Linked DNA regions of Drosophila melanogaster. The protein of the gene in region 2 interacts with the protein of the main gene of each other region in a pairwise test. Each region holds a gene or a part of one and is shown on either strand. Other genes may lie near its edges.

Evidence for each region. Proteins that work in one complex are often made in the same cells at the same time.
Region 1: the proteins of Septin2 (region 2) and lectin-30A interact in a two-hybrid assay, tested with the Drosophila melanogaster proteins (one large-scale study listed by BioGRID).
Region 3: the proteins of Septin2 (region 2) and mus304 interact in a two-hybrid assay, tested with the Drosophila melanogaster proteins (one large-scale study listed by BioGRID).

The regions. Positions count from the first base shown.
Region 1 is NT_033779.5:9,252,560-9,257,500, forward strand, and holds lectin-30A (lectin-30A), read right to left. Parts: upstream 2,296-4,941; 5' UTR 2,273-2,295; coding exon 1,601-2,272; 3' UTR 1,517-1,600; downstream 1-1,516. Other genes in the region: borr (borealin-related), read right to left, coding at 76-427.
Region 2 is NT_033777.3:20,583,786-20,589,943, forward strand, and holds Septin2 (septin 2), read right to left. Parts: upstream 4,572-6,158; 5' UTR 4,487-4,571; coding exon 4,339-4,486; exon of another isoform or gene 4,218-4,338; intron 4,211-4,217; exon of another isoform or gene 4,085-4,210; intron 3,673-4,084; coding exon 2,561-3,672; 3' UTR 2,344-2,560; downstream 1-2,343. Other genes in the region: CG16953 (uncharacterized protein), read right to left, coding at 1-459, 1,352-1,503, 1,618-1,687; Srp72 (signal recognition particle 72), read left to right, coding at 5,040-5,151, 5,213-6,158. UniProt on the Drosophila melanogaster protein: Involved in cytokinesis.
Region 3 is NT_037436.4:18,107,380-18,114,363, reverse strand, and holds mus304 (mutagen-sensitive 304), read right to left. Parts: upstream 4,551-6,984; 5' UTR 4,450-4,550; coding exon 3,814-4,449; intron 3,735-3,813; coding exon 2,234-3,734; intron 2,161-2,233; coding exon 1,981-2,160; intron 1,915-1,980; coding exon 1,691-1,914; 3' UTR 1,517-1,690; downstream 1-1,516. Other genes in the region: Polr3D (RNA polymerase III subunit D), read left to right, coding at 4,972-5,204, 5,264-5,643, 5,716-5,784, 5,837-6,402; mRpS26 (mitochondrial ribosomal protein S26), read right to left, coding at 6,929-6,984. UniProt on the Drosophila melanogaster protein: DNA damage checkpoint protein required for chromosome break repair and for genomic stability during development.

The DNA.
Region 1 (4,941 bases), on a different chromosome or scaffold from region 2:
ATTCATTTGTAATTCGGGTGATGACATCCTTGCCAGCAGATTGGTATAACAGCATACATATATAGGCCAACAAACCTTCGTCATTGCGACTTCCAGTGGCGGAGGGGGCGTGGCCCTCGATGGCGCTGCCACTCATGGACATCGAGGCGAGCAGCTGCGTCTGATCGCTGGCCTTGAAGTCGCTGAAGCGGTCCAGTTCCTCGAAGAGGCGCAGCACTTCGGGCATCTTCAGATTGGCCAGCTCCTTCTGCACCTGGCCGAGCAGTGTCTTCACCTGGTGGTCCACGGCGGAGAGGAACTTGGTCTCCAGCGAATCGATGCTGATAAGGCGGGAATCCATTTTCAGCTCGTACAGGCGCACCTTCTCTTCGCGATTGGCCACCTCGCGGTTGCGTTTGGAGTTCTTTGGTATCTTGGTGCGCGGCATCGTGGCAGCGGCCTTTGTTTACACGTTACAGGGTTTTTGCGAGGAATAACTATTTTCGTAGCAAGCGTCGTCTTTTTGCTATTTCTTTTCGAGTTTGTCCGCTAAAATTCAAGCGTCATGGAACAGTGTTGCCAGATGGCTTTTCATTGCCCAGTTCACGACCGATTGAAAATACTAGAAATATTTTGATGGTGTAAGTGTAAAATGGTAACACTAATGCGCGGTAAATTCAATTAAATAATTCGAACTTAACTGAAGTCACTCCAAAATAACACATTTAAGTATATATCTTCTATATTTATTTATCTATATTTTGAATAATGAGTTTTGAATAATTCCAATGAGTTCTGCAACTAATCTCAATGAACTAGTTCCCTACAACATAGAGATCGATTTTTTTTATATCTTTATTTTTGAAAGGGGAATTCCAACTACCCATTTGTTAATAATGTAACGGTAATAGCATCTTATTATTATAACAAAATACAATATTGGTATATTAGTATTATTGAATAGTAATAATTGGAAAAACTAAAGACTTGCACACTAGAGCGTATAATAACGTAAGTGAAAACTCGAGATATAATTTTGCATCGTATGTGCGGAGGTATCTGAAATGAAAAGCCCCAAAAATTGGAGCCGCAATCCTATTAGTCCGTTTCGAAATCTCGCCCCTGGTCATAAATTGCGCTCTGCTCCACATTGTTGGATGTTTGCTATCTGTCTCTGCTAGTTGCACTTTGGCTGCCACAATGGCAGGATTCTAATAAGCGTGGGTGGCTATGGGTGTGCGAATGGCCCACAAATCAAAAGCATTTTTGTCACCATTTGGGTGGCTTCCTTGTGGAGGGGCGTGGCACTGGCCGCCCTTATTTCTGCACAGAACGTGGACACGTCATGTGTGTAAGGCATTTTGAAATACCAAGCACCGCTTTCTGGGCACTTGATGGAAACCCCATATGGATTGGCCTGGTTTTGTACTTAAGGGAAAATATTTTAATTTTCATTACCCAATAATCTTAATGATCCTCTTGGCTGAGAAAACAGTTATGTACTTCATTTTTGGGCTAGTAAAATAAAAAAGACAGTAGGCTCATAACTTTATTAAAAGCTGTCGGTAAATTGCCGAGATGCAAAATGAAAATAACTTAATTTATTATTTTCGCATTCGCATCAATCCCACTGCTCGGCTTGACATATGAACAAATGGGTGTTGAAACAATTTTCATTGTACATTTCCTTGTTGTATACATTAACGCAATCGAACTTATTGCCCCTTTCTTCTTTCTTCCACTTAAAGAACGGCGGCGATCTGCCGGTGAGTGATGATGCAAAAAGGCCGTTCTTGAACATAGCATTCATATCTATCCAAAAGACGCCGGCCGGCGCTCTTGAGAAGATCTCATTAAACTCCTGCTCATCCCTGATGGTGGCAATGTGACCGCCCAATTGACGACAGGTGTTTGAGGCGCCAAACCAATTTTGTTTGTTTTCCTTCTCAATGTAGAAGCGTCTTGTGCCCATTCTCTGGAAAAGCGCCGGATTAATCCTGTGCGAGATTCGTAGTTTCTCGAGAGTCTCCACACTCTGGTTGCCCATTATGGTCTGCAGCTCGTTCAGTGCGTATGCCAACTTGCTTTGCATGGCCATCAATCGTTCTTCTATCGATCTTTCGATCCTCACTATTTTCTGTTGCATTTCACTTTCCTTCAGCGCAATGAATGTGAACCATTGTTGTTGATTTATAGCCACTTGATCAATTAGCAGCGGATTTTCCGTTTTGTTAGCGAGAACATCACGAGAAGCCCAGGCTAGAATGACGCATATAAAACAATACTTGAACATGTTACTATGTATGACCTGCTAGTCCCAATCCTTAAAACGGACTGTTTCTGGATGTTAACATCTGTATAATGAAATAACAATCCGCATCTAAAAGCATATTAAAGCGTTGAAAACGGTTTACAACGTCTGGCAAATACATAGGTTATTCGTTCTAAGCAGGTGTATAACTAATAAAATTTATTAATACAATTTATGGCTTACCAATTAGGAAAATCTTTCTTGATACCGTACGTTCACCGCACTTTTATGATAGTCGCATAATTTCGGCCTTTTCTTAATTAAGTTGATGGGCTAGAAGTTTTAATTGGCTTGATGCTCGTTCTTGCCTTAAGCCACAAAGTGGATGAACCTAAAGGTGGGTGGGCTCTACCAAACGTCATTACCAATCGATGGCTGTGGGGAAAAGGGATATATCCGAGGCATTCATCCAGACATCTATCTATCCATCCATCCATCTATCCATCCGAGAGCAGATATTTCAGCAGCAGCAACGACAACGAAACTCAATTTGCGCCGGCCAAACGATGCGTTGAGCATATAAAATGCAAAGCGGAAGCGACGTTCATGGATAGATTACACAACTACTTACAAATGTGCGTTTAAGCACCCAACACCCACCACCTACCACCCACAGCCAGCCATATTTCCCATTTCCAACGCTTTTCCTGCGTGTCTGCAACTGTTGCATATTGCAGTGCGTGCGCTGCCTTTATTGTCCCGATGTTAATGGAAACACCTGCTGGCGGCGGAGAAGTCAGCCCCGGAGTCCGTGAACGAGTGCCAGTCATTGTCAGGGGAAATCTGGCCGGGATTGCGGGGTGAGGTTGACTGTGGAGCTGGTGGTGTACAGCCGCCCTTAAGCTGCGTCATCATCTCCATGCCGGATGACAGTAGACGGACCGAGAATGGCATCTTTTGGGAGCGCTTTCAGGTAATGCCGCCGAGAGATCCATTTTACAAAGTGCAGCCAGTAAAAGTGTTTCTGTGTCAGCTGTTGATGGTGCCCAGATGCCCTGCTAATGTAAACGTGCCACGAGGGACACAAATTATAATTATGTTGAACTCTGATACGGCATTAATGGAAGCTCCCATGCATTGATCCACCATTGTATTGATTGCTATCCAATATACCTTATAAGCCCCATTGCAGCCGTATTACTATAATTTATATTGATATTTTACCTTCATGCTTTATAATATTAAAGTTGCTTTGACTTTTCAGCATTTTTACGTTTTTAATTAGAACAGCTAGCACGTATTGAAATTGGAATACCACCACTACGTTTTAGTTTATTGATGTTAGCTTAGAAACTCATAAAAAGCGGAGAAAATGAAACAACATGTGCGTAAAAAAATGAACCCTAGGGAAGTTCTAGAACAGCAACTACCCTACGAAAAACCAAGGCAATCGTAACGAGTTTATGTCCCACCGATATAGTTCCAACCCTCCAGGTTAATGAGCCCCGAGTGGGGGAGCGGTTCAATTGAATTGTGTGCCGTAAGTTGGACAAACCCAATTAAAATTTCGACTGCCCGTTTTTCCGGCGATAAAGAAAGAATAGTGCTGGCCACCCCATTTACAATCCCCTTTGCACAGGTGTTGCACAATTCCACTCGTTCCCGGGCACTCGAAAGTGCACTTTGTACTCACTCAAAATTTACTCCAGTCTGGCGCGTTCCACTTTCACACGTTCCTCGTGGACTCAACGTGCGCCTTGGCATATGCAACGCATTCAGTCGCTTGTGGGAGGCAGTTGCATTCGATTGCCAGCACTTTCATCAGCGGAAAAGCCAGAGAGCAGCTAATAGCCGGACAAAGAGTGAGAAAGCGAGAGCGGAGAGGGAGAGGCAGAACACATTCGCTGGTTGGTCTTGGTCTTGGTACCACTCATTCGACACATTTTCCTTCAGTTTTCCCTCGGCAGCGATACCAGCCGTCGCTTACTTTTTCGTTATTCTGTTATTGCTGGCCTTTGTTTATTAGTGCGTGTCTTCGCTGCGAGCGGTTTTCGTAATTGAAACGAGAGCGACATAATTAAATTAAAATATACTCGCACACAGTAGCGCACTAGCATCGATAGACGGGCCAACTAATCACATTACCAGCCATCAGACATCAAGCCACCAGCCATCAGGCCATCGTCAGTCGGAAACCGAAACGCAGACCCGCAACACAAGACTCACAGTTCGCATTGCATACTTTTTGGCGCGCATCGAAATAAACACACCAATACGTACATCAATACAACACAACAACAACAAACACATTCAGGCTCGATTGCTGCGTGAGTGTGAGTGTGCCTGTGTCTGTGCGAGAGTGCCTTCTAAAGTCGCCCATCCTGCGAAGCGACAAAATTCATCAACTCTTGTGTCTGGTGAGTTGACATAAAAGACAATAGAATTGCTGGCAATAAAAGGCAAAGCTTGAAGCTAACAAGAAAATTCCGGGAAAAGTGCCTCGGGCTGGTGAATGTTTTGGCAATGTTGGTGTGAAAATGTCAGACTAGATCGTGACCTTTAAGCTTCTGATCATTAAAGGGGTTACATATTTTCTGTGAATATGCTTTTAAAAATGATAACTGGTGCGAATAATAATCTGCAAAAGTTTTTGGTCCAAATGTTTTGTAATATAAAGAAAACTTGATGAAATCATGAATATTTAATAATCA
Region 2 (6,158 bases):
GGTGGTGGTCGTCGTAGTTGAGGGCGTCGGCTCCGGCGGAAGTTCCAGTGAAGCCACCACTAACGCCTCCATGTCATAATATTGCTCAGCTTTCGGATATGTGGCCACATAGTCCAACGCACTGGACATGCCGAGATATGTGCAGTTCTGAAACCAATACGTCAGAATGCGATAACCCTTCGACTGCAGAAAAAGTAGGTCCGCATCGGAAAGTGATACGCTGTGATTCACCGCCTCCTGGGTGGACACAAACTCATGGGGTCGCATCACATTGTTCTGAATCAGCTCCAGGCTGCCGCCGAGCAAGCTGTCCAGCTTGATTCCCCTCGAGGCCTTAGCCTCCGTCACCCAAAAAAATGTGACGAACTTCTCCACTTCCACCTTGATGACATGCGTCGCCGGTTGTTCTTGCGTGAAGACCACAGACCAATTGCTGCTAACGCTGTTCGTTTCAATCACCTGTGGGCACAAAGAGAAGTGTTTAGTGTTATTTGGTATCACTTTTAAGCCACTCTGCATGCAAATTCGTTCACAATAGCAGCCACCGTTTGGCACTGATATGGCCACGTACCAGGCACAATCGGAAAAGCTGTCGCTTAATAGTAATTGTGCAAAATTACCATTCAAATGACGCCATTTCAATTGATGGCACAGGGCTGAGATTAGAACTGGTATTCGCATCTGTTTGTATATGTAAGCTCTAGCTTAGGGTGTTTAAAATGTGTTTTTAGTCATCGTAAATAATAAAATATTTATGACTTCTATGGAATAAGAATCATTAACATTGATAATTTCATTTGATAATATTTAAAGAAACAGATACGGATCAGTATAATTATGTTCAATATTACATATGCTCATGTTAGTTAGTTAATAAGCTTATATATAAAAATCTTAAGTTTGAATTTGAAATAAGGTTTCTAAAGATTTTTTCTTGAAAATGCATTTTGAATAAAAACAGTTACGTCTTTTGATCTAAAGAGTAATTCTTGTTTAGCAATTACGAGTTGTGATATCGATTTAGAACAAACTTTTGTAATGGTCTATTAGCAGGAGCTTAAAACTTTAAATTTAACCGAAATCGAGAACTTTCAAAATATTTTGTAATCAGAGATATTTGCATTAATGAAATACTGTTCTGCTGCGTTGATGGCAGGCAAACCACCTAGTACTAGTTCTCCTGACCATTTTAATGAGCCAGTTTGATGGGCGTAGATGCGAACCCTAGGCTGGTGGATTTGCTTGCACTATTGGCGTTTGCATTCGCAGGCAATTAGTCGTGTCACCGTTTTCTTTGTTTGAACACGTTCTGCAGGGGGAGCAGTTGGGGAAATGGAGGTGGAATCGTTACCTTTCGATGGCCAGCACTGTCGGACCATGTGAACCTGTAGGGCCTGCCTCCGTCAGCCGGTTTGTCGCCATCGAAGAGCTGGGCGGACACATTGATGGTGGATCCGATGAGGGCCTGTTCGGGAGCAGTGATGATGACGGTGTAGCAGGTAACTGCAATGTCGGAGGGAAATCATTAATGACCCCGTTTCTGGACTACCATATCCACACTGCACCAGCCATTAACCATTAACCACTACCCACTGCCACCATTAGCATTATCCATACCTGTCTGCAGAAGAGCGAGGAAAACCAGTGATGACGCTGCTGGCGACATGTTCGTCATGCCGATTGGCATTTCCCGTCCACTCGGCGGCGCTGGCTATGGAAAATCACTTGGGAGCACCCCTGCGGCGAGTCCCCTCCCTTACCATTAAATCGCAATCCAAACCGAGCGACAAACAAAATTATAACGAACAAAAAACAAACACAAAGGGGTATCTTGCTTTTTGCCAACGGATACACCCACTTTCATGGACTATTCTCTACGTTGAACACGGTTAATTGCTTTCGTTTGGGTTACGGAGCACTGGACTCCGTGATTGCGTCGAATTCGCTGCGGTGATTCTATTATTGCGTTTTTAATTTGTTCTATAATTTTTGCAGCCTGCAGTGAATGAGTGGGTAACAGTGTGACCAGGTGGCAAGCACAAGACAAGTAAAATAAGGCCGTACTACACTTACGTCCTACGAAAAGCCCGCCAATCTTGAAATTCAAATTACCATGTTTTTGTATTTAAAAAGCGGAGCTTAAAAGAAATTCAAGGAAAATATAAACTTAATATGTATTGATACATATCAATCAGTGACTTCTAAGGAAACCAGGATAATCTTAGATAAAATGTTATTTTGTTGTCTTTATCCAGCGGTGCCTTCAATACACACTTAAAAACACATTATATCGACAAAAGTTTACAATTTTTTGAATACAAGTTTCCGGCAAACAGCTCTTTTCTACTTTGTTAAAATACTAAGTTCGATTTATTCGTTAGTTGTAAATACATAATCATTATATGCCTGCGTACATATGCGTGTAGTTGTGTATATGTTAATATTTGAAGTAAACTTAATAGTACAAATGAAAGACAACGAGATGAGAAAGCAATAATTACTTTGGGATAAGCGAACCGCACAGAATTCTCAATACATTGTGAGGCGGCGGCGCCGGATTCTACTTCTTCTTGCTCTTGCCGAGGGTGAGCGTGTGGTGGGCGGTGGCCAACTGCTGCTTGCGCCGCTGGAAGTCAAGGTAGTCCTCCTCGAGCGCCTTGCGCGACTCTTCCAGCTTGCGCTTCTCCTCGGCGTGATCCCGCTTTAGCTTCTCGAACTTGGCGTGCAGGTCCTTCTCGCTCTCCTTCAGCTCGGCCTCCTTCTCCTTAACGCGCTGCACGAACATCTGACGAACCTCCTCCTCCTTGGACTGCAGCTCGGCCAAATGGTTGGAGCGCTTTGCCTCGAACGTCTGCTGGAACGAGATGGGCTTGTTGTCGCTGTCCACATCGCTGAAGCCCATTTGCTCCAGCCTCTTCTGGCGATACAGCTCGTAGTGGCGCGTGTGTGTCTTTTCGCGCATATCCTCCATGTTGGTGCGAATGAGCATCTCGCGCAGCTTCACAAAGTCGCAGTGCGTCTCGTTCTCCACCTGCACCGTGCCCCAGGGGTACTGGCGAGCGCGGATGAGCTTGTTGCCCACCTTAATAAACTCCGTGCTGCCCACCACGGCGAAGGGAATGTGCGAGTTCATGCTGGTGTTGGTCTCGGCCACCGTCTCATCGTCGGTGGGGAACTGGTAGATGTGCACTCCATTGGCGTTTAGCTCCTGAATGATCTTCGCCTTGAAGCGCTGTAGCTCAACCTTGGAAATGGTATCCGCCTTGGCAATCACCGGAATTATGTTCACCTTGCTGTCCAGCTTCTTCATGCACACCAGGTCCAGCGATTTGAGGCCGTGCCCAGTGGGGCAAATAAAGTAGAGGCAGATGTGGATGCGGCTGTCGTGGCATGTCACCAGCGATCGCTTGATCTTCAGCTCCTCCTGCAGATAGTTCTCGAACTGTGCGTCGATGTAGTCCACCACCGCCTTGAACGAGTCGTCCTTGTTGATCTGATCGCCGTAGCCAACCGTGTCGCAGATGGTGAGCTTGAGTCGCACATTGCTCTCCTGCAGCTCGTAGGTGTGTGCCTTCAACTTGACGCTCGGCAAAGTGTGGGGACTCGGCGTGGACTCGAAGCTGGTGTTGAACAGCGTGTCCATCAGCGTCGACTTGCCCAGTCCGGTTTCGCCTGCGGAGCGTAAAGATTTCGAAATGCGGGTCAGATTTGTGCCAGATTTGGGGAACCTTAGCCTAAGTGAGCTCAATTGGCCATAGAAGCACTGCGGCATTGGTGTCAGGGTGAAATTGTAGAAAGTGGCGGAGGCAATCGATTGCCGGCCACTTTGCATACTAATCGTATCTGGGCGTCTGGTTATTTCAATTGTTTACCCGCTTTTATGTACCTAAGTGATTCACTTTATCTGAGCAATGCACTCCAACATGAGACACTTGAGTACATAGCACAGCGGTGTTCAAAACAATAGCATCTTTATTTCAAGATGTGCTGTGCAATAGTCTTTGCTTTCAATAAATAATTGTATTTCTAATATGATTTTACTGATTTTACTCGTATTAAAGTTTAACAAATAAAAAGCACACACCTCGGTTTTTATTTCATTCTCTCTGCATCGAGCTACCACTGTATGTCCAATTTCTAATTGGTGTGCAAACAAAGCCATCTTTGAGTTAAGAAGCAACAAAAGTTTGAAACCTTCTCCAAGTGACTCCTTTATGGAATATAAAAAATCAGTGCTATTGCTTTGGTCACCACTGTTTTGTATGCAAGCAAAACTTCGGTTGATTCACTGTGCCGCATACACACGCACACACGCAAAGTTCACCCGCATATACACACCTATACACATGACGTTGAAGACGAATCCATTCTGGACACTCTTGTTGACCAGTTGGTCAGGCAAGCTGTCGAATCCCACGTGACCGGACTGCTTCAGGGTGCGGAGGTGCACCTCCTTCTTGTCGACGAAATCCACCTCAACGGACATTTTCCAATAGTCAAGTCAAATAATCCAATAATCCGGGCGCAGAGTTTGGATCAAAGGCGTCGCCAGCGAATATGCAAGTGTGGCCAGATACGCGGAGCCCAAAATACCAGCGGCTCAAAGAAGTGTGTGGATATAGATGAACAAGAAAATTATAACTTAACAAAGAATTAAAAAACAATTATTTAATGAATTACATGTGCCATAATGGCAAATAGTGAAACGAAATTGATAATCAAACAGTGAAATGCACTTCATGGATTAAGATTTTAGTACACATCATTTAGCGTTTCAGTTTTTAATAACTAATAATAAAATGTCCCATTCATAGATATTTATGCATAAGTTATTAATTAAATGTAAATAGTTTAAAAAATTAAATGTCTTAACTGTTTCCGCCATCTGGCATCTCTGGTTGCACACAGAAGCGATCTGGCAGGTCCGCATTGCTGATGTGTCTACAGCTGTAAAAACTTGCATGTTAAACGGAAAGTCGAAAGTTTAAGTCAGTGAATAAAATATATATTACCACCCACTAACGTGCTGAGCAAACAGGATGTCAAAGGACGCTAATCCCAAGGAGGCGCTCATAAAGGCGGCTTACGCTGATGTGAATAAGTTCGGCAATAACCAGGAGTTTGACAAGGCTGTCAAGGCAGTGAATCGCAGTAAGTTTTTCAGATTACCGAGGTTATAATCCAGAAGATGACTCCCTATGATCTCTCATAGTCCTAGGCGTAGCGCCCGACGATCCCACCGCCCTGCACTGCAAGGTAGTCTGCCTGGTGCAGCTTTCCAAGTTCGAGGAGGCCTACAAGTTTATTGAGAAAAATCGACTGTCCTCGCTTTTCTTTGAGAAGGCCTACTGCGAGTACCAACTTAACAAGCAGCAGCAAGCGCTTAAGACCATAGACGATGCGGGTCTGCAGCCCCTGCCTCCGAACCTTAAGGAGCTCCGAACCCAGGTCCTGTACCGCTTGGAGCGCTACGATGAGTGCCTAGACTCCTATCGCGACATCATTAAGAACACCAGTGACGAGTACGAGGAAGAGCGTCGGACCAATCTCAGCGCCGTGGCCGCCAACTTGGCTGTGGATCAGACCAAGGAGGTGCCCGAGGTGCCGGAAGACACCTACGAGCAGTACTTCAACAGCGCGTGCATCCAGGCTAATCGGCAGAAGTATGCTGAAGCCGAGCGCAAGTTGCGCACCAGCGAGAAGCTCTGTCTTGAGGATGAGTGTGCCTCCGAGGAGGAGATCATTGAAGAGGTAGACGTCATTCGCGTCCAACTGGCCTATGTCCTCCAACTGCAGGGCAAGACCAAGGAGGCGTCCAGCATCTACGCGGACTGCCTGCGTCATAAGCCAAAGGACGCAGCCCTGGTGGCCGTGGCAAGCAACAACTTGGTGGTGGTCAATAAGGACCAGAACGTCTTCGATTCCAAGAAGAAGATACGCGCTGCCCTAGCCGACGCCTGTGAGTCTAGGCTCACCTCGCGCCAGAAGCAGGTCATAGCCCTCAACAACTGTCTGCTAGCACTTTACACTAATGCCGGCGACCAAGTGCAACAGCTTAGCCAAAAGCTAGCTCAGACCTACCCGCAGGTGGAATTCGAGGCGCTGCTCATTCGCTGCACCCAGCTGGCCAAAGATCGCAAGCACAAGGAGGCCATCGA
Region 3 (6,984 bases), on a different chromosome or scaffold from region 2:
TACGAAATTATCTCTGAATTACAAAAAGTATATCTGGAAGCTTTGCGGTTATCACTGCACGCATGATCAGCACAGAAAACAATTTACTTTTCACTTCAGATTCTTCACATCTTGTACATTTCAACATTGGTGAAATGGTTTCATTCACTTATTTAATAGTCACATGTAATACATAATTTACGCTGTAAATACGCTTAGGTTTTTCGATTTAAAACGCAATTTAACCCCTTTGTGAAGAAAACAGATAACGTTTTGGATGTTGTAAAATAGTCTTAGAATTTTTAAATTCGCAATTTTACAAGAAAAAAATTCTAAAAATATAATTTTATAAAAATAAAATTAATCTGATGAAGAAACTTTTCTACGTGTAGATCTAGAGAATATCCGTTTTGCGGAATTAAATAATAAAGTGTTCTGGTAAGCACACCCCAAACAAAGCGGAATTGTCGGCGGCTTAACTGAACCACTTGATAAAATTATAATTTATAAAAATTAGTTAAGTGGAGCCATTGAGTGGCCATCGGTTAAGTTTGTCGAAATTAAACTTTGCACACGGGGACATTGTTAAGATAATTGGAAAATCTTCATAGATATGCTAAGAGCAACGTGATGATATTCTTGAGTTGAAGATGATAAAGATAAGATTGCCTCACGGAAAAATTTTGAGGATTACATTTCAGGCTCAGCAATTTTCGGCTCTTCTACAAATGAATTCCTTAAAATATGCCTCACTATATTAAGCAGTCTTTAGATGATATAGTAAAGATAATGAAAAGAAAATAACGATAAGGAAATAAATATCATTTAAGATAAATAAACGGCTAAATAAATAAATAAGAGTTTAGTTTAATAATCGTTTAACTGGTAAAAAGAGATGTATTTAATATTCTGTATATGCGAGTACAGGTATAATCATATGAAGGAATGATTTCTGATTACATTGGGGAAGGATCATAATACATACGTATATCATACATCATACATCTTACATACATACATATATATATTTATATACATATATACATATATACATATATATATATGTATACAGAAATGCATGTTAAAAATATATGCATGTGAAACGAAAAAAACAAAAGTTCTTAGATGTTTTGTTCTATGATCATATTACAATGATACTTTCTTATTATTGTGAGAAGGAAGTATTTGTTTATTTGAACCCACCTTTGCGAATGTTTATTAAATCAACAAATATAAGCATTTGCATTGAATCACGCTTATTGCAGTAAGCACCATAAGTGCACGTTGAACTTTTAATCAGAATACATTATTTTATACACAATAAGCACGGGTTTAAAATGTAAATGCTGAAAAACATCTAAATATTTACAAAATTAAGAAAAGCATCGCGCTTACAAACTAGTTCCATGCAAACTGAACTGGTTAAATTGAGCCATATCAGCTGTTTTATCAAGTTCCTTCGAAACGATAAGCTGAACCACCAACAAATATTTTGTATTATCGATTCGTAAATTGATATCGAAATGAAAAATCGATTATTTAGCGGTTTCTTTAAACGCTGCATTACATATTTGTATTTTGGAATGCGTTTTTTAAGCTCTAAATTTGTGCAGCGAGCCTTTTCAATTCTTAACATAGCATTTGAAACTTCACAATAAATTAACGCCACACCTATATGTATATATTACTAAAACGTTTAAGCTAACTATAACTACTCAAAAGTGTTCTCCTCCCGTTTAAGGGCACTAAAGAAGTCGGTGTTGAGTAATTTGCTGGGATCAACTGTCACAGCCGACTTCACAGCCCTTTGGTCATCCGCATTCTTGACAATGCGTTTCCATTCGGAGAGGTCGTTGACTGGATTATTGGGCTTGGCCTCCAGATGAAGGGGTTTCAGCATGAAATGGGCTTTAACCAGTTGGTTTAACAAACGCACTAAATGACAGGAAAATATTTAAAAAGTTAGCAACGGAAAATATGGAATGTTGTTAGGTCATTTACAATGTATTGACTGAAAACCAAGCAGGTTCGCATGCTCGCTCCACCAGTTGCATATGAGGCTAAGGTAATGCTTGGTCGTCTCCTCGGAGTCGCGAAACAGACAGGTGAGGTAATACTCGTGAAAGACAAGGGACAGAAGGTGCACTGCGATGCGGGAGATCTCGCCAACTTCTTCGGTGCCTAAATAGAAAGCACAAATATTGATTCGTGTCATTGATCATATGAAAATGATTTTTTTTTAGCTCAAACGCACCTGCTTTCCTGCTGTGCAACATCCATTGGTGCATCACCTGGAAGACAATTGTTACCGCACTGAGGCACAACTTTACATAGCACTCGCAGCCTTTTCCTCGCTGCGTTGTACTTGAATTTGAATTTTGATTCGGGTTCGAAACAGACGCTGATGTCGATCCATTGGAGACCGATCCCTGCACAGCTCCTGTGGAGTTGAAGCTCAGACTGGTGCCTGTTTTCATCAGAGTACCATCGCTGGAGTCCTCGTCGCCATCGTCGGCAAAGTAAGGCAGCATTTCAAGTATGAAATCCGGTGGGTTTTTGAAGCACTCGAACGCGAATCGCACATGATTTCCTCCGATCTTGAGCAGCAACTGAAAGTAGTCCTGCCGCAGAGGAGTTTCACTAAAGAAGCATAGCTCGAGTAGGCCCGCGTAGACCTGAAGTAAACAGGAGTCGGGACCAAATCGATAAACGGAGCGAACGCGATCCGATACAAAGCAGTCCTTGGGACTATTCACACACATTTTATCCATAAGTTGGGGATGTCTAAGGCAGCTTAAAAAGCAGGAGCTAAGCTCAGCAAAAACCCAAGGACTGGGACGAGTAAAAACTAACTGCTTAAGCAGATCGAAGAGTAGCTCCTCGTTATGTTGAAGAAGGGCATTTTCTTGTAGGAGGCTATTTAGGAGTGAAGTCAAGGCTTCCAGCAATCCAAAGTGTTGGCCGACCTCGTAGGAAAATCCTAGTTTTGTGATAGCTTCAATAGCCATATCTAGCAGTCCCAGATCATTTTCTTTCCACTCCGTGAGACCTCTAGAAATCCTTTCCTCTCGCCGGCAAATCAAAGCCAAGGTAGCTATGAAGCGACGCAGCGGAACAGCCTTTTCGTTATCATACAAACAGCTCTGATGGGTCAGGGAAATGCGATGAACTTCCTCCTCTAGGTTGTGGGGATTGTAGGGATACAGCATGCAGTTGTGTGGAAAGTCCAAACTTTGAGCATACGAAGCAAACTCCGTGAATACCTTGCCGACCGACGAGAGTATTCTTGGCAGGAGGTTATCCACAGATTCCGGCTTTGCCTGCAGCCGAGCGTAATGAAGTAGCAGTTGCTTTAATTCCAGTTCAAAATGATTTCTTCGTTTCTTAGTCTGATCCTCATTTTCGCTGTATTCGAACACACTGCCATTATCGGTTTTCAGCCCGGGCACAGATCTGTGTATGTTAAGCCTATTCAAGCGAAGTGATAAGCGTTTCTCCAAAGGATCTGGAGCAGCCTGTAAAATGCTCATGCTGGAATTCATGCTTCTTTCATGGGCTTTTTGCTGTGTCTTCAACTTTGAGAACTCGGCGTTCTTAATCTTCAACTCGATGTCCTTGGCCGCAATTTGTTTGGCCGCTTCTGCCACTTTTTTGTTGCAATCCCGATTCGTTTCGTCGGCCAAAGCCAGCTTTTCCATTTTGCTAGCCTGCAGCTGCTGGCGCAAGTGCTTCAGCTCATCACGAAGTAAGGAAACCTAGAGAAATAAATATAAATGGATTAGTTTCTGTAAGGTCTAGAATCGGTGTTATAGTTCCACCCCGATGTCCACCTACCTCACCAGACTTGATCTCATTGCGTTCCTTACTGTCGCCCAAATTCTTTTCCAGCTGCGCGTTTTCCCGCTTAAGGGCTTCAATCCTATCCATGAGAAACTTTAGCTGATGCTCCTGCTGGCGGGATTGCGTGGCATTGATGGTCGTCGTGGTCGTGGTTTTCTGCTGAACACTTATGCTGCTGGTAGTTATCCTACTTGTGCTGGTCTTCGGCTCCGGCATCTTTTGTGGCTCACTGTCCATGAGGGTAACGGCCAGAAAATCGAAATCATCATCATCCGCGAAAATCGCATCCATATCCAGGGAAGTAGGCTTCTTTTGTGGCGGCGGTGGCGGCGGAAACATTTGCTGTGTGCTGGTTGAGCCCTGAAAAGTGGGTGCAAATTCGCTGAAGGTGACCTCGCTGTTGCCGATGTCCACCTCTGTTCCGCCCTTCTTTTTCCGCTCCTCCGCCTCGATTTCCGCCTCCGCCAGCTGGGTGGCCATCAGGATGACATCGTCATCGTCGTCCCAGAGAATCCCATCGAAATTGTTCCTCGGTGGACTGGGTCGCGCTGATCCGCGGGTAACGCTAACATCCAGGCGCGGTTTCTTGCACCGCGCGAAGTCTTTCATGGCAGAAAAGCGCTTGGCCATGGTTCCTCCAGTTTCCGCTATATTTCGTTACTTTTTGGCCATGGAAAGTCGTAGATTATTTTGCCGGTTTGCTTTGTTTATAAAATGTAGAGCTCAACTAGCGTTGCCAGATGGATTTGATCGCAACGATGGATTTGCCCAACCAAAATAGAGATTATGTTTCGAATCCATGTTGCATAGAAAAATACTACATTAGGATTTACTGCAACAAAAAGCCAGTTTTGTAATATCGCTCTTTGTTATTATGCTGGTTTTTTTTAAGCGCCGATAGAAACCCGCTACAATCACAGTTTCAAAATCCGATTAATATTGAGCAAAACCAAAGTCATCTGGCTACACTCAAGTCTATCGACTGCGGTGTATCGGCATGTGGTGTATCGACTCAGCTTTCCCATTAACCTCAAAGGAAAATCAAAGAATTCTGCGGAAATTCTAGCCCAAAACTAAAGGACTTACGGGGAAACCAGAACCCAGCGACTTCGGTCGAATTTTCGAGGTGACGGGCGGCGCGAATGGAACGCCATGCCAGCGAAGAGGATGACGGTCACCACAGCAGCAGCTTCGACCATCAGTGGAGCCAGTGGGTCCACCACGAATAATGGTCAGTCTGGTGGCGGTGCACGCCCACTGGAGACGCTAAACGGAATGACCAGGCTGACCCCCGCCCGCGACTTGACCCTTGGTGGGCGCGGCGCTGGGACAGCCAGCAAAAAGGTCTTTGCTCCCAATTTGAATGCTGTGCGCAATAAAAATGCGTGAGTTGTGGAATGGCCCAGGGGGAGTCATTCTTTTCATCATCTCATTTGATTCACAGCAATGTCAAGACATCCAAGGACACCACGCAGCCAAGGAGCGGCCGCAGAGGTGGACGTGGCAACGGCACTGGAGCAACACGTGGTCGAGGTGGAAATTCCGCTGGCGGGGGCAACTCCACGCTCATCCAAACCCAGGGACTCTTCTCCGAAGGAGCAGGCGATGTTCATGTGCGAAGGTCCACAGGAAATGGAACGGCATATGCACGGGGCGGTGAGGAGGTGTCCGTGACCAGGAAACGGGTGGATCGCAAGGACGACAAGAGCCAGGCCGAGCGGATCAAGGAGCTCTTGGGCGAGTCGGACGCCAGTGGCGGCGAGCTCAGCGAAGAGGAGGCTAACAAGACTGAGATGGCACTCAGGCCCATCCTGCTAAAAGAGGGTACGTTTTACAAGCACTTTTTGATGCACACGGGCAGAAGAAATTCATGCTTTATTTGTTTATAAACGTTAGGACTCTGGGTCACCCAGAAGACACCGATTGCGAAGCAAGAAATCGCCAGTTCAACCTCAACACTTAAGGGTAAGGCGCTAAGCTTTAAAAATGGCATAATCTAATTTGATTTCGCTCCTAGACACTTTGGCAGTGGCCCAGCATTTGCAACAGCTGCATGTGGCTGCCCAGGCAGCCAGTTTAGAGGAACCTCCGCTGCAGTACGGTCGCTACCCACGCACCATTGGTAACTTTCTGGACTCCAGCGAAGCGCAGATCTTTCTCATGCAACTGCCAGATGTGTTGCCATGTGTGGGCGACGATTCCGAAGATCCGGAACCGTCTAAAGGAGATCATCAGGCCACCAGTGAATCGGAACCAGCAAGTCCTGCAGACAAATGCTCAAACGGACCCAAGGGCAGTGTACTACGGCAGCTGGAAGAAGGGCAGATCGGCAAGATTCTGAGGTACAAATCCGGTCGCGTTAAACTCCAATTGGGGGACACACGCTTTGACTTGGATATGGGTCTCGATCCGGGTTTTCTGCAGGAACTCATGTCTGTAACCGCCAATCGCGAGCAACGTAGTGGAAACATGATCAACTTGGGACCCATTCAAGCCAAACTAAAGGCCACTCCAGATTGGGTGCACCTTTTCCAGCAGCAGGATGCGGCATCCAAGCGAACGAATCCAGTACCGGGCACGTAGCACCCACTTCCCCATGGTAGATATGTAATATAGTAAATAGGCTGCGCCTAAGCTTAAGTTATTCCTATTCTAAATGCCGTATATAAAAGTTAAATATAGAAATTTTTATAATACAAATGCTTTTCAAAAGGTTATTAACAATTGTACTCGAATATGGAACATAAAAGAGACTCCAAGAAAGATGGGCTTGGAACTTGGGGATATGTAACGTAAATTAAGCCATCAATACTTAATGCAATGACCCAAGATTAATTTTTAGGTTAATGGATTGTTGATATATTATATGTTCAAATTAAGTGATTATTATAATTTCAAATACGGTCTTAAAATTTGAAAAGTATTCTAGTTCTAGCAAATCGCTTTACAATAGCTAGGTTATCCAATTCCTATTCTTTTGCGCAAATCAAATATACTTAAGTGTGTTGTTTATTGTGCAGAAAAATAAAAAAAAACACGGACTTTCAACTTTGGTTAGAAACCTATAAAAAGCATTTTAATGTAACAACAAACTAAGACACTGCATTAATTAATTACTCAAAACTTGCTGGTTGGGTTCGGGAGTGGCGTCCGGGAGCTGAGAGG